2 linked regions of the Schizosaccharomyces pombe genome follow. The gene in region 1 interacts genetically with each later gene. Each region holds a gene or a part of one and is shown in the gene's direction. Other genes may lie near its edges.

Region 1 (6,928 bases):
GCACCGTTCAGGTTTATGCCCACGACCTTGGTCCAGATGTCTTCATTCTTATCTTCCAAGGATAAGTGGGGAATCGCAATACCAGCATTAGCAATCATTACATCCAAACGACCACCCAATTCCTCAACTGCCTGGTTGGTGGTTTCAATTACAGCACTACGGTTCTCAATGGGGCAAGAATAAGCCTTGGCTTGAACACCATGTTTGTCGCGTAATTCAGCAGCATACTCAAGAGCCTTTTTGTTACGACCGTACAAAAGACCAACATTAGATCCAGCGGCAGCGAATGCTTTAGCAATCGAAAATCCGATACCGCCTGAACCACCGGTGATGAGAGTGGTTTTACCTTTAAGAGAAAACATAGAAGTCATTATGAGATATATGAAAAAAACCGAACGATGTAATAATTATTAAGAAAAAAAAAACCCCACAAAAATATTTTAGCGAACAAAAAGTGGTAGTAAAATTTATGAACACCGGTTTAATAGCTTTTGATTAGATGAAAAGCAAAAATTTTTTTCCGAAAGATTTTTAATAGTAAGAGAAGGCACTCTTGGCAACCAGAAAGAAAAATTGCTTTGTGGCAATGGACCCAAGGCTTTTATACAAAAAATTTCCTCTTTTTGACACACAGAAAGAGCAGTCCTAAATAGTGTTGTTGGAAAAAATATATGTGTAAATAAACGATTTGCAAAGGAGGAAAAAAATAGCGCAAATAGACAAAACGGTCGTTTTACTCGAGTGACACTAGTAGATCCATCAAACCGATAATATCGGGTATTGTGATGGCTGAGTGGAAAGTTTGAATGAATAACTGCGAGAAACTAGGCTACACACATAGGAGTCAAAATAGTGTAACCCGCAAAATATAGAAATCCAATTCATAAATGTGAGAATGACAATTCATTTATTATAAATTGGAAACTCATTTCATCTTTTCTTTTTTTTTCGTGAAATACTACGAGTTTCTCTTAAATCCGGGGAGAAAGTACGGATAAAATCCCATGATTAAGAAGGGGAGCGTCGGACGACAAAGGTAGCTTAAATTAACAAATGGCCAAGTGATTTTGGCCATTTGGGGTATGATTTCGCTTCTCTCGATCAAGATGCAAGCGATTAAAGAACTGGACTCGGAAGAGGAACCAAAAGTTGGCGAGTTCTATAAGGGCAACACAATTTCGTTTTGCAAAAATTCGCTTGAAAATGATACTCAATTACCTCAAATTCTCTTCTGCATTAATCCTAAATCCATCCGAAATTTTCTTTTTCCACCCATAGCAATATCAGATCCGAAAGAAGCTCAAAATCACTGTTCGTCTTACTATTATATTAAGTACCGGTATTATATTGTACAGTCAAGATGCGGGATGATGGGAAGAATGTCTTTTTAAATATTATCTAAAAAAGGTAATAGTTACATGTTAATAACTATATATATATATTTCCAGACTATACTAGTAAAGTAACGGTTGAAAAAATGTGTAAGTAGAAGAACTATTAAACTTAATTGCGTTCAGTAGTTTCTGCATGGTTTTTAACTAAAACCATGTTCGATATTGTTAACTATTAAATATACTTATTCAAAAAAAAAGAACACCAGATTCTCCTGTCACGCATCTAGGTTTCCAGTTTTTCATCTGTTCCCTCATTAACGTTCTACCAGTTGCCCGCATTGTTCCAGAAGATCAACCCAAATCTGAACGAGATGCAATAGCCTGGAGACTACCAGAGTCTTCATTTTACCCGACCGAGATCGTTTCCATGGTCGGAATCGAACACTGGAATACTTGAGACTTGGCGAAAAATGAGTATTATACAAGGGAAGAAAAGAAGAAGAAAATAAAAGGATAATTTATGTTTTACGGCAATAAAATAATGAATTAATAAGCAAGAAGTATTAAAATGGACTTTACCACTAATGAGGTTCTGTTTAGTAGGTTAGTAGTCTGTAAAAATTTGACAAGAAAAAATTTTCCGTTTCTTCAATTGAAGGGGAGCTCCATTTTAAGATTTGAATGGTCTGAAGAAATGTATAGATTGTATATATGGTTGTTACCGTACCGAAAAGACTATAATGAAAAGTTTAAGGGAATTCTAATAAATCCTTCTATTTTTCTTCTTGGCTGTCATCATGTTCAAATATGCAGTTTTCCGAACAACCTTGTATTTTTCATGGGAAAATGCGATTTGTTTCGTTTTTGTTAGCTTTGTTTGAATACCATTTTTTAACTTATGCGATACTTTCTAAACGGAGTTCACTTTTTAAATTAATCTATATCAACTGAGCCGTTCAATTCAATCCCTTTTTTTATATCAGCTTGTAAACAAACGTTTCAGGAAATGAGAAAGTTCAAAAAGCGTTAAACAGTGAATGCTTGTATGTTGAGCTTTGACTTGTTTGCAAATGTTTAATTGTCGAAATTCATCATCTGTATCTGTCCAAAGTTGTGAACTGACAAGATAGAGATTAATTTGTTAGATCACGCAAAGTACGATATGTTTAAAATGCTTATACCAGGTTGCAGTCTTTGTTTTTCATAGCTTTGCAAAAAAAAAAGTGGATTAAAATACTAATGACTACTAGGGTTCGAAAGGTTGCTGTTCGATTATGAAAAAGCGTTCACTCTTTTATCTCCCAAGCGATGATTTGAATTTTTGATGCATCTGTGGCGTAGAATATGATCAATCATTTTAGAAAACAGAATAATATTCAAGGATCCATTTAAAGTCCTATATAGAGTAAAGGATTTTAGCTATTATCCTCACATTGAAGACTGGTCCCATTATACCGAAGTCTGTTGACATTAATATCGTTGTACCGGCTTTTTGAGTAGACTAAATATCTTGTACAGGATCTACTTTGAAAGAGGGTATTAGGTCCTTTTTTTATTTTTTGTTTTCCAAGGATTAAGATAGAAGCTGAATTTTTTTGGCTAGGCAAAGTTGACTAATTATTAACAGACTGTGGTTCGAGTGATTAGCAATCAACCTATCCTTATATGAAATCGTGCTTTTAACAATTTCGGTTGTTGGGAGATAACTGTGTGTACGGAGAATCAGAAATTTTTGTTTTGGAAAATATTTGTAAAAGCAATTACGTCTAAATATAATGAATTACGCGCTAGAAAATTTTCATATAGCTGAATCCCGAAAAGCTCAACCTCCCATATGATTGAGCATCCATAAAAGCATGAAATTTTTGGTACAAGTATCGGTGAATCGTAAATTTAGAAATAACTGAGCAATTTTATCTCATACATAATATAGGAATGAAACGTTTGTCGATCAATAACTAGTCTGATACTTGATGCAAACATTTAATCAAATACCCTTTTTTAGGAATTTAAGGAAAGGGCTTTAAAAGAAATTGAAAACTTAACTAGAACTAGCTTTTCTTAATCGTTTCTCGTAACTTATCACCACACGCTAACATTAGCATTCCTTTGTATTCCAACGTTACCTACACTGCAGTCAAGGAAAATCATCCAACCTAACATTATTCCTTTGCATATCGCGTCCATTTTATTTTCTACCATGTCAAATACTGTTAGGAGCTTAGTCATCAAAACTAATGTCGTTAAAAGAATTATTAAAGATGTAGAAGTAAGTTTCCTTTTTGGATCGCGATTTTGTAGATGGAATTTTCTGACCTCAACAATTGTTTAGTTGGCTCATATCGATATTAACGAGGCCGAGAAACGTGTACAAAGTAAAATTGATAATGGGGAAGATTCTGCAGAAATTGAGCATCAGGTATGTTGCATTAGTTGAAACCATATAAACGTTGGACGTGTTGTGCTAGAAGATGTTTCTACCAAGCTGAAGATACTTTTCGGTGGTTTCCGCTTTAGCGTATCTTTTTTAAAATAAAAAATAATCAAAGTACTGACATTCTGGACCTCTAGAAATTTGTTTTGAAGAAGCATCTTGAGGCGTTGCCAGATGCTCTTGTACGTCTTCGTAATGCGACGAACGACTTGGAATCCATTTCTTCTGACAGTGCATACGAAGGAACTCCTGAACTTGAACAAGCAAATGAATATTTAGAAAAAGCAAAAGAAGTAATTGAAAAAGAGCAAACGAATTTCCCCACGAATGGGTACCACTGAATACACATTTACTAGCTTTTGTAGATCCCTGCTAAAATTTATTACTGACCCTTCAAAAGACGATCATGAAAAGGTTCTACGTTCATCATTCTTTACCCACCCTTTCAATGCTATCCTACTCAACTGTACTGTGTCTTCGATTTTTATTCCAATCCATTAAAATAATAGACAATCCCAACTACTTAAGGATTATCCAAGTCATGCTTAAATCTTTTTTAAGATTTCGCCAATCTATTCTAATTTTGCCAGTTAGGTGAAACTGTTCACATAAAAAAACATACGTATTCCCCTTTATTCTACTAGAGATTTAAATTTTAGCTGGACAATCAAACAATTTTAAAACAACCAAATGTTCCTGCTAACAAGCAGCATAGACAGTCGTCCTCTAGTATTTATTTGCACTTTTATTGTGAGTGTAATGTAGCGTATCACTATGTTAGATTGTACAGCTCATTGTTTGACGTTACTTACCATCTGAGCAAAGAGAAAGAAACACTTCGCGTGAACATTAAACAGATTGGGAGCATAAAACGTTCCATTTGTATACCTATGGCAAGTCCGCCAATATTATCAAGGGAATCACCTGTGTTGGGTTTAGAAGAAGAGAAGAAATCTGACGGCGGCAACTCTGAAGTAAATATTGACCCTTCTGCATCTTCATCGTTGAAGGAAGATGTAGATGGCGAAGAGGGAGCTGATACAAAAATAGATCCACACCTTCTTGAAGAAGATGATTTAAATCCTGTAGAGGATTACGATTCTAAAAACCAAAAAGTCGTTGAAGCATCTAAACTTGACCTTGACGCTACATCAACTGTTTGGGCGGAGAGTCTTAGTATTAATAGAGAAGCTAGTATTTCCCAATCAGGCATTGTAGACAATGAAATGGAGAAAAAAGTTGAAGAGGAAGAAGAGTTTGACGAATTTGACGATTTTGGTGAATTTGAACATGATATCCCCATCTGTACATTTATGGGTGATTGGCAAGATGATTTCCAAGATGCTGTCAATTCTGTATTTGGACTACCTGAAACTCCGAAAACAATTGAAGAATCCTCCTTGGATCCGGATCGTATATTGTCTCTTTGGCAAAAACTGATTGAAATGCCCGTGCTGCAACGGCCAGATTGGCTGAGGTCTAGCATCAGGCATATTTTTTTAGTTACTATGGGTCTTCCTGTTGATTTGGATGAACTTTTGCCTACTCCTTCTACCCAGGGATCATTCAATTCTTCACGCACAATAGAATTGTCTTCCGTGACGTTGCCAAAATCTGAGGATGAACCATATTTAGATTATTCAGCTGCTCGTCGTTTATGCAGCATAAACAAAGACGCATTAACCCACCGATCTCATGAGTCTTTACAACAGCATATAGAGTTACTAGAATCAACTCTGCAGCAAGCTGTTGAAGTTGCTCGATATTGGACCGATAAAAGGGATTCAGCTCTTAGCGATAAGTTGTTATATGAGACGGTTGTCGATGATTTAGTTCAACATAGCAAACGTTTAAGAAACTCTGGTCGTAAATTCCTTTCTAGAAGGAGCACTTCCTCTCATAAATGATCCCTTTATATCTTTAATTACCGACCTCTTTTCCTGAATTGCTGTTTTCTTGTTTAATTTTACGGGAGTAAAATAAAACGGAAGCGTTTTATTTTTGTTGCTGACGAACCTTTGTTACGTCTAACGTGATTAGATTTGACTTGTGATTCAGCTGTATTGTCTTCTTCGATTCTTTTGCCTCTTCTCTTCTTTTTAATGACTAATATTTTAATGACTCTTCTCTATGTGTTTATCAATATTATGTCAACCACTTGTAAATATAAATGGAACAGTATCCTAACCTAAGCGCCATTCTTGGTTATTTACATAATAGTCCATAATTATCTCTAAAGAAAAGGAGCAAATTTTGATTCACTGTTGGTACTTAAGTTATTCATCGTTAAAAAAACATTAAGAACATTTGTCGACACATTTCTGGCAAATTGATAACAACTTGAATGAACTGTTAAAATTATAAGCAGGAAGTTGAAATTTTATTTTTATTTATACTTATTCGTTAGACTTGCATTTGGAATGCTTTGGATTTACTAGTACCCTTATTCTCTTACAACCTGGACGTTCCTAGTAATATCAAACAATTAATTGACTTATGGAATTAGATGGCTTATCGACTAAAAAAAGCTAAGGCATTTCTTGACTAAAAACGCAAGGAAAGGACTATAAAAATTTGATTGTTACTACAGGTAAATCGAGAACCATCGTATATAGGAGCTGCAAAATTTTGTATATTATTGGTATGTTTGTCAGACGCTAAATGATTCTTACTTGATGGATAGTTTAACCTTTTTTTTTTGAGATTTACATGCAATTCATCTATTGCCTAAATTCACCAGCCATTATTTTGACAAATGCATTAAACTATTTAAGTATAGCGATTGCTTTTATAAAAGGATTTTGGTGCAGTACTAGGAATATGAATACGCGATTGATATTGAGTAATGTTCTGGCACAAGCGTTTTCAGCTGACAGATTTAAGCAGTCTGTTTTATAACTATTCTCAAGTAATACTTTCCCATTGAAAATAAAAAGTTATTTTTGTAATGTGGTTGGATTGTATAGTACGACTCTGCGGTTGAAGAAATGCAGAAAGCATCTTTGGCTAGCAATATAAATAACAAAAAAAAAAAAAAATTAGTCAAGCTAATTTTGTGTTTTATAAACAAAAAAAAAAAACCTTTGGAACAAAATTCTTAGTATACAAATTGCGATAACGTATTGTAATAGCCAGCACTCAATTTGGATTCTTAGTTTCA
Region 2 (8,368 bases), 990 kb from region 1:
GGTAGAAGCATATTTTTCTCCAGATACCGTGGACGATGAGTTTACTCTTGCTATTGATGCCATTAATGGCTCAAGACTAAAGCATAGTCATTACAAACAGTACCATTATGTTGTGCAAAGTTTGCATCTTTGGCTTTTAATTATGGGAGAAATATTTTCATTATGGGCTCTTAGTGATCTGGAGTTAACTAACCCAGATATGGAGTATAAGCTAATTGATAACAATCAAGGAATACACAGAATGCAGCCTTGTCCCAACATTAGAATTGCGATGGAAAGGATTTTGCGGACGGCTCAAGAACAGTCTGAAACATGGATAGGAAGTTCAACAATCCATCTCGGAGATACCGCTGTTCCAAATGCCTTATTGTTTATAGACAAGTATATGCAAGTGCCAAGGATTTTAACACCCTTGGTTCTATTGTTCAAGGAGTTAGATTCTTTAAATGACCATTCTCTTCTTAACTACATTGATACAGCTTTTGGAGGCAGAGAATATTTAAAAAAGACTATTTTAACCGATTTTATGAGATTCGGATTTGATGGATCTGGTGCAGACAATTGGTTTGATGTAAGTTAAAATTATCTATCTATATATATATCTGTTTAATTACTAACTAGCTCTAGGCTGGCAGTTGTATTGATGGACGTTTGACTAGTGCCTGGAATTGGGCAAACAACATACACACAAAAGATTACTATCGTGTACTTCTCATGTCCGGATTTCTTAGCTTCAATGGTGAGTAATTATTTAGTAATGGATTAAAATACAATCTTTTAAGCATCAGTTATTTTATTATTGCAAAAATGTATATAAATTCTCGACGTGTAATAGGCTCCCACCAACAACTGCCAACATCAGGAAATCTTATTACGTTTCGCGTAAATTGTTCAAAAGATTGACATAAATACACGTACCAAAAACCTTTATTTACTTTATTTTATTGAAGTTGGTTGTATTTAGAGATACTTTGATCGGTTTATACTTAGAATACTTTGGAGATTAATTTGATAAAGGATTAAACCTAGGATGCGTTTATGTTGAAAACCCTTAGCAAAGTGTCAAAAAACTTGTCAAATACAAGTGCTTTTCTTGTCAAGTCGAAACCCTTATACATTTCTTTTTGCACTTGCAAAGCGTACTTTGAAGACAATACTTCATTAAGCAGACGGTTTTTCTCTGCAAAAAAAAGTTTACAATTCAAATCTTTAATAAGAAAGTATTCTGAAGACTCTACCTTGGCCTGGAGAGATTATGAAAACTATAATGATGATGACCTGCTATATCAACGTGAGTTATCAGAAATATATAACAAATGTCTGAAAGCTCTGCATCCGTTTTACCCAGTTTTTGAGGTTAATAGTAACTTGTATTATCAGTTGCTAATGTTTACGAATTATTCAAATCCGAAAGATAATGGTTTTTCAAAATTGCTTTTCTCACAATATTCTGACGAAAAAAAGGTACTGGTAAATTTCGTATATAATGTGCTTCGTTTAGATCCGGATTTGCAAAGGCAAAAGCGAATTCTGGAGAGCATTATTTCAGCTGCCTTGAATATTTGCGTATCTACTGTAAATTTGAGTAGAACTGACTTAAAATCTTCTTTAAAAATAATTTTGCAAACAATTGATCTGTTTAAATATGACAGTTCATTCTCTTCTATATATTTTCGAAAAGATGGACCGTACCACAAAGTTGAAAAACTGCTGAAAAGCGCTAATATTCGCTCTTCACTTAATTCAAAAACTTTTAATGATTTCCGCACACTTTTCTTGCTTCTCATTAGAGATTACAGTCTTTTCCATGGAAATTCGAGCCATTGCATGTTAGCTAATTCTATGCTACCACCGTCTATTGCTTTTTCGAAGATGGAGAAGGCTGAAATTTTTTTACGTTTACGTGCGTTTTTTCAGCTTATGGAGCATATTGATAATGAAAGGATAACTCCATCTGAACAGTTTCTGGATAAAGTCTTTATATCTCTCCTTTCGGCTAAAAATAGCTGCTCTCTTAAAATGTGGCTCATTCACTCATTTAATAAGGGATGGCCGGTAAAAATTGAGTTTTTTGTTTCTTTTTTCAAAAATTTTTCCAATATAGTAGAAGGCTCTATGGAGGTCTATTCCGCATATTTACATATTATACGAGATCACTACAATTTATCTGATTTGGCTGACGTACAAGCAATTTTTCTTTCTCGTTTTATTTTATTAAGAAAGAAAGAAGATTGCAAAAAACTACTGGAGCATGTTTTACCTATTCGTCAGCTTTTTTTGTTAAATTGCTATAGCCTGCTAAATGTACTCGCTAATTACGTTGTCGTCTTTAAAGATCGTTTAATTTTTCAAGAAATAAATCAAAATTGGGAAGAGCATAAAGGCCAAATTCCGGAAAATTTTATTTTCTCTCTTTTGAAGATGTTTGGTGAAATGCAAGAGAATCAAGGTTTTTTGAATGCCTGTATTTATTATATAAACAAAAAGAAAAATTTAAACGAAGTTAGTCGTTATAAGATTAATTTATTATTACTACAAGGTGTGAATTCCTTCGAAGTAAAAGACTTTTACAGAAAACGAGGAATCGAAATAATGCCAAAAAACCTGCCCAGATTTTTTTGTTATTGTTTAAAAAAAAATAAATTAAGTTATGCTTTAAAGTATATACGGTTATCTGGGCTTCAGTTTGATTACATTGTTGATTGTTTCCGTAATAGCAGCGACTGGACCAGAACTCTGATTTCGATATTGAGCAAAAAAATGGGAACTGAATTCGCAATTCGTTTTTTAAAGATAATTTCTTTTCCTTTGTTATCAAATGACAAAGTTCTCCGAGAGATCGAATTTTTTGCCATTCACGAGGTAAATTTTAGAAGTCTCAAATGGGTTGCAGATCAACAATTGCGAATTCTCCCAGGATGGAGTTCTCGCCCCCAAAAAGCAACATTTCCTTTATGTACAGTTCATTTAAAAAAGTGATAATTCTCGATAGTGCTGCTTCCAATCTACATCGTGCTTGGTGCTTGATACATTTAAACGCATTGTTTGATAATTAATATATTCATTGGTATCAAGTTGTACTTTACGAGGTATGCAGCCAACAATAGATTATTTACATTAACATTGAGAGACTTAATAAAGCAGCACATTTAAAAATGAGATCGACATTAGAATCAAAACCCGTATAATAATAAGCAGTATTTCCAACTATTTTCCTAACAAATCTGATGCCATCTATATTATCACTACGTACTGAACACTTCTATGTCGCAAAGAAAAAGTGCGGTTAAAACTTTTTGTTGTAGATAAAAGACAAAATTTGAAAGAAACAAAAAACTTAAACTGCCCAAATTTTTATAGCAATCCATTTTCTTTCCCACGTTGATTAATAATGCATATATCCACTGGAATGGTTAGGGCTTCTATATCTAATACTTTAGTAACATTAACCATCGAAGGAAACAATGATCGATACCAAGTCATACTTGATAAAAACGTAAATGCAAAACAGTTTGTTAAAACGTGTTGGAGAAACAAAAAACCATTGTAAGATTGTTATTGACGACAAGAAACTAAACTATTAGAATTGTAAAAGAAGGAAAAATATTTGTAGACAAAGGATTCCCTTTTGATCCATGCAGAACATTTTTGGAAGCACTTTACGAAAAATATTCATATTCAAGTCCCCTACCTTCCTCTGTTGAATTTAAAAGTGGAAAACAGGTAGAATTCTGTGGTTTCGAAAAAATCCAAAGCAAGCAAAGAGATTTAAAAAGCTTGCGCGTTATTATTCTAGACAATTATAGGATTGAAGATATTGAAATAGAGTACGAGTATTCTAAAATACTACCTGGTATGTCACTTATTTTCAACTAAATGTTAACGGAATTTGTAGAAGTTATCGACTTAGATTTATCGAGAAATTTGTTTCATGAATTTTTTCCAATCCTTAAATTGTGTTCCCAGCTTCCTTCATTAAGAAATTTAACTCTAGAGCATGTGTTTTTGTTTATCTCTACACGTATATTCTAACTCTTTCAGTTCAAACTTATTTTCAAATTTTATTAGCTCAAATACCGTTCTTTTAATTCCTCATTTAACACAACTTTCAGTGAATGGATGTGGCCTAAACAGTAAAGATGTTCAATGGATTACAGAGACTTTTCCCAGTTTGGAAGTACTTTACCTTGAAGCAAATGAAATAATTTTATCAAAAGCAACATCTTTTAAAAATCTGCAGTTCCTTCAAACGTTAAGTCTTGCAAATAATCTCAATCTTTATAGTGCTGATGGCTATGCAGTTGATGTGTTCCAAGGGTAAGTATATTTGAGAAATACGAATTAGGTTTCTAATCTAAAGAATTAACAATTTGAATTTATCTTCTACCTCCCTCGCTGATGTTGCAGAACTACCTGTACACACTTTACACAAATTGACATTCCTTGACATATCAGAAAACAACATTAGGGATATTCGTTCTCTGGATCATCTTCGTACATTAGAAAACTTAAAGCACCTGCGTATAACACTTTCTTATTTTAATAAACCTACTGATATAGCTAAACTGCTGGTGATTGCGCGAATTCCTTCTCTTGTAAAATTGAATGATGTGAATATATCACCTAATGAGCGTTTGGATGCTGAGTTGTACTACACTTCATGCATCCGGAAGCTTGTGATTGATAATGAAATTAAGGATGTTGAAGAGCTTACGAAAATAGAGCCATTCTGGGAGGAAATATGGAAATCTCACGAGTTGCCAAGCATTCAATTCCATTTGGAAGCTTCAATCAATGACTGGACGTCTGGCATTCTTAAAAATCGCATAACAAAGGGCATCAAAATATCGTCAATTAACTCAGGTGCGACAATGTTATTAAAGCTCCATTATAATTGGAAACTGTTAGATATAAAAGCTTTAATTTCATACCACTTCGCAATTCCAGTACATACGTCTACTTTTGTCTTTGCTTCAAGCGAACGAGATGTAAGCTTCTCTCCAAAGACTGTCAGAGACGACCAAAAGCGTCTCTTTGAACTCCCTTTTACTTGTACTTTTATCGATGTATATGCAAAGGAAAGTGGAAACGTCTAAAGCCAAGTTATTACTTGAAGGACCAAAATCGATGCTCTAGTTTTACGGCTTCTTTTAAAATACAGAAAAATCTTTTTAGCGAACTCTTTTCTAGTATTATAGTTTACGCGATTAGTCATTAGAAGTTTTTTATATTTAATATTCAATAACTCTTTAAATATACTAATTCCATGTATATACCATATATGAAAAGTGCCTCTAAGTTATTTAATCGGTTCGACACAATTATAAAATTATTAAGAAACAAAGAAAACCAAAGCCAAAACCTTGAACCAATAGAAAAAAAAAATACACGTCAAGTGTGACAAACTAATCCACCACGGTCAACTAAGATCAGGGAACTGGTGATAATAGGGAATCCTTGATTACATAGTTGCAACAAAGCAAGTTCAAAGACCAAATGAAAGCAAAGTGATCAACCATGTCATATAGATTTATTCTTCAATACAGGAAAAGACACAAAGTCCAAATATATTAAGGTTGATAAACGAAAAAATAAGAAACCAATATCGTAGTATTGGAAAATAATTCAGCACACCAAATACACTTATAAAATAAATTAGAAAGGAGACAAAAATTTTAATAGCCAGAAGATTCTAAGATTTCAAATAGGGGAGATAATTCTGGGCCTAAGCCCAACCCTACTGTTTCATAATCATTATCAAGGTAAGAGCCATCATTGTGTTCGTCTTCAAGCGCACTTTGAAAATCAGAATGCATCTGACGAAAAGTCATTTTACGTGCTTTCTTTTTGAGAGCACGACGAGCCTTACGTGATTTTGGTCGTAAAGGAACGGAATTTGTGGTAGTCATACCAGTAGCATTAATTTTGTGTCGGCGTTTTTCACGTGTTTTGATAGCTAAGGTAAACCATTCATCTCGAATTAACTCATCGCGACGTGCCATAGATTTTATGTACTGATTTTTTCGAAACGTCCCAATAGGAATTTTTTCCCAGCGACTCAATGAATTATCTTCTTGTGCAAAGGAAACTGAATTTTCTTCTTGAAGATCAGTTTGTGTAGAAGGTTGCAGAAGAGATGTATCAAGAATATCATCTAGGGATGGCTCTTCTGAAGTTTCATTCAGAGTTTGAGGCCCATAACCGTTGTTAGCAGTGTTTTCACCCTTTGTACATGCATCAAACTTATCATGGTGAAGGGAATGAGAGTGTTTACCATCAATAATACCAATCAAATGATTCGGTTCCTTAGCCCAGGTACCCATTACAGGCGGCTTTGGTTGGGTTATATTTAATCTTGGATCTAATTCAAAAGATGCTACAGAGACAACTGTAGAAACTGGTTGAGCTAAGGTAGCTTTAGCTAGTGTTGGGGTCAAACCAGTACTATTATCGGAAATATTTGCACGAGAAGCCAAAGAAGTAAGATCTTCTTTATAGGCGAGTTCAGCTGATAGCTCAAGCGGAGTAGGGACAGCTGAAAGTAGAGTACGTTGTGAGTTAGGTGATTCCGATAATTCTGTTTTGATTCGGGGTGTTTGACCGAAAGATTTTTTAGGAGTAGATAGATTTAATAACTTATTGTTTTGTAATTCTGGTGTTTCTTCATCAGTTGTATCCCCTTCATCATCTGCTTGGTGAGATAAAGTGTTGAGTTCGTCCGAAGAATCATCAAAGAAGCATTCCCATCCAATCAAGTCAACATCATCTTGTTCATTGTCATGATCGTCAACGCTAGAATCTGAACTAATAAGCCCCAGTAAGAAATCATCATCTGATCGCTCATCCATATTTACATGTTCGGTAAGAAAACGTTCACGATGGCTATTAAAAGAAGCCATGTCCATGTCCAAATTATCAACCCAGGAAGCGCTAACTATATCTTCTTCTTCTTCCTCTTCTTCTTCCGTAGATGTCGAAAAGCCATTTTCAGTTTCACCTTCGTACGTTGAGAGGTGCTTGCTTTTCGAAAAACCTTGATTATCCTTTTGTGGAGAAATAAAACATTTATTTTTCCAACTCTCTTTAAACATTGCATCTCTTTTTAAAATTTTCGGTGCCTCTAACGCAAACGATCCTTGATTAGACGAACGTCGTCTAATTCCTGCGTTTTCTCGTTTTACAAACTCTGTAGGGGGAGTAGAAACTTTTAAAAGTCCATTGGATACCTCTTTCGACTTGGGATGTGAGGAAGACTTTTTCCAAGAATTAATTTTCAGAGGCTCCTTATTTGAATAAAATGGTTTTTCATCGACAAATTTCTCTTTCGATCTACCGATTTCAAATCCCAGGGATAATTTTGAATCAGAAAAATCATGAAATTGATTTTCCTCACTGTCAGATAAAGGCAAATCCAATTTCTGTCTTTCTTCTTGAAAGATGAATGTTGGCATTTTGTCAAAATCAACGGGAAAATTCAATTCCGCTGGTAACTTTTTAATTTCTTCAGTATTTTGATACCCATTCTGTATATCATACTCTTCAATTCGCCCATTCGTTAGCGCCATCCTAACATTCGCAAAGACGAATTACTTGGCTGTGGTTAAGTACTCAACTGCTTGAAAGCGGAATTCTTAGCCTCTAGTTCTGATTCCACCAACTACCCTACCCTAAAAGTTGTGCGTGAAATCAGCGTGATGCCGCCCTAATTTTTCACTTCATTACGGCATTCCCAAAGGTAACACAAATTTCATTGCGACACTTAACTTCACGACACCAATGTTCATAATGGTGCTATAAATTACAACAGAATCTGCAACAATTGCTACTTTATATTATTTGCACACGCATTCCATATTTTTTATCGCACTTCCAATTGCATTTTTGCAATTCGTTTACATCTAAGTAAAGGAATATTTTCAATAGAATGAACTTGAATAGCATCTGGTGTAATTGCACTCATAGTTGGGTCATAAATTTGAAATCATTCATTGATTAATCATTTTGAAGTTAATTATGAATTTAGAGCAACCGTTGTTGGCAAAATAGTTGTTAAAGCACTTTGCTAATATAGTTGGTAAATATCTAATATAATGTCTATACGACAGAAGTTTAAATTACAGAACAGATGAATTTTACTAGCGTACCAAGCAGAGTAGTTCAAAACAGCACTAATATACGCCTGGCTAACGGTGCCTAGCTTCTCTAAAGCTTCTCACCGTAAAGCTGACTACTCTCATCAAAGTTAACGGTAAAAGCGGTTACTGAATCGTGTAGAAACCAGTTGGGAATATACATTATAAAACTTTAATAATTTCTGGCATATAATGTTATTGAACTTCTTTACATAATCTTATATTACTGATATTTC

Evidence for each region. A genetic interaction does not mean that the proteins touch.
Region 2: of alp31 (region 1) and alp21, extra expression of one is lethal in a mutant of the other (dosage lethality), as found in Schizosaccharomyces pombe (one study listed by BioGRID).

What each region holds. Positions count from the first base shown.
Region 1 is NC_003424.3:3,373,614-3,380,541, forward strand, and holds alp31 (tubulin-specific chaperone cofactor A Alp31), read left to right. Parts: upstream 1-3,492; 5' UTR 3,493-3,534; coding exon 3,535-3,603; intron 3,604-3,666; coding exon 3,667-3,753; intron 3,754-3,905; coding exon 3,906-4,109; 3' UTR 4,110-4,287; coding exon of another isoform or gene 4,288-4,345; 3' UTR 4,346-4,390; coding exon of another isoform or gene 4,391-4,408; 3' UTR 4,409-4,455; downstream 4,456-6,928. Other genes in the region: SPOM_SPAC8E11.10 (sorbose reductase), read right to left, coding at 1-371; SPOM_SPAC8E11.12 (uncharacterized protein), read left to right, coding at 1,083-1,391; SPOM_SPAC8E11.08C (uncharacterized protein), read left to right, coding at 1,903-2,205; SPOM_SPAC8E11.06 (uncharacterized protein), read right to left, coding at 4,288-4,345, 4,391-4,408, 4,456-4,481; SPOM_SPAC8E11.05C (uncharacterized protein), read left to right, coding at 4,659-5,675. UniProt on the Schizosaccharomyces pombe protein: Required for the maintenance of microtubule structures and cell polarity. Beta-tubulin-folding protein; may have a regulatory role in the tubulin-folding pathway.
Region 2 is NC_003424.3:2,386,695-2,395,062, forward strand, and holds alp21 (tubulin-specific chaperone cofactor E), read left to right. Parts: upstream 1-3,241; 5' UTR 3,242-3,391; coding exon 3,392-3,546; exon of another isoform or gene 3,547-3,584; coding exon 3,585-3,853; exon of another isoform or gene 3,854-3,895; coding exon 3,896-3,995; exon of another isoform or gene 3,996-4,041; coding exon 4,042-4,317; intron 4,318-4,360; coding exon 4,361-5,096; 3' UTR 5,097-5,249; downstream 5,250-8,368. Other genes in the region: SPOM_SPAC22H10.08 (uncharacterized protein), read left to right, coding at 1-571, 628-747; protein Cbp8, read left to right, coding at 1,039-2,979; TOR signaling pathway transcriptional corepressor Ifh1, read right to left, coding at 5,676-7,565.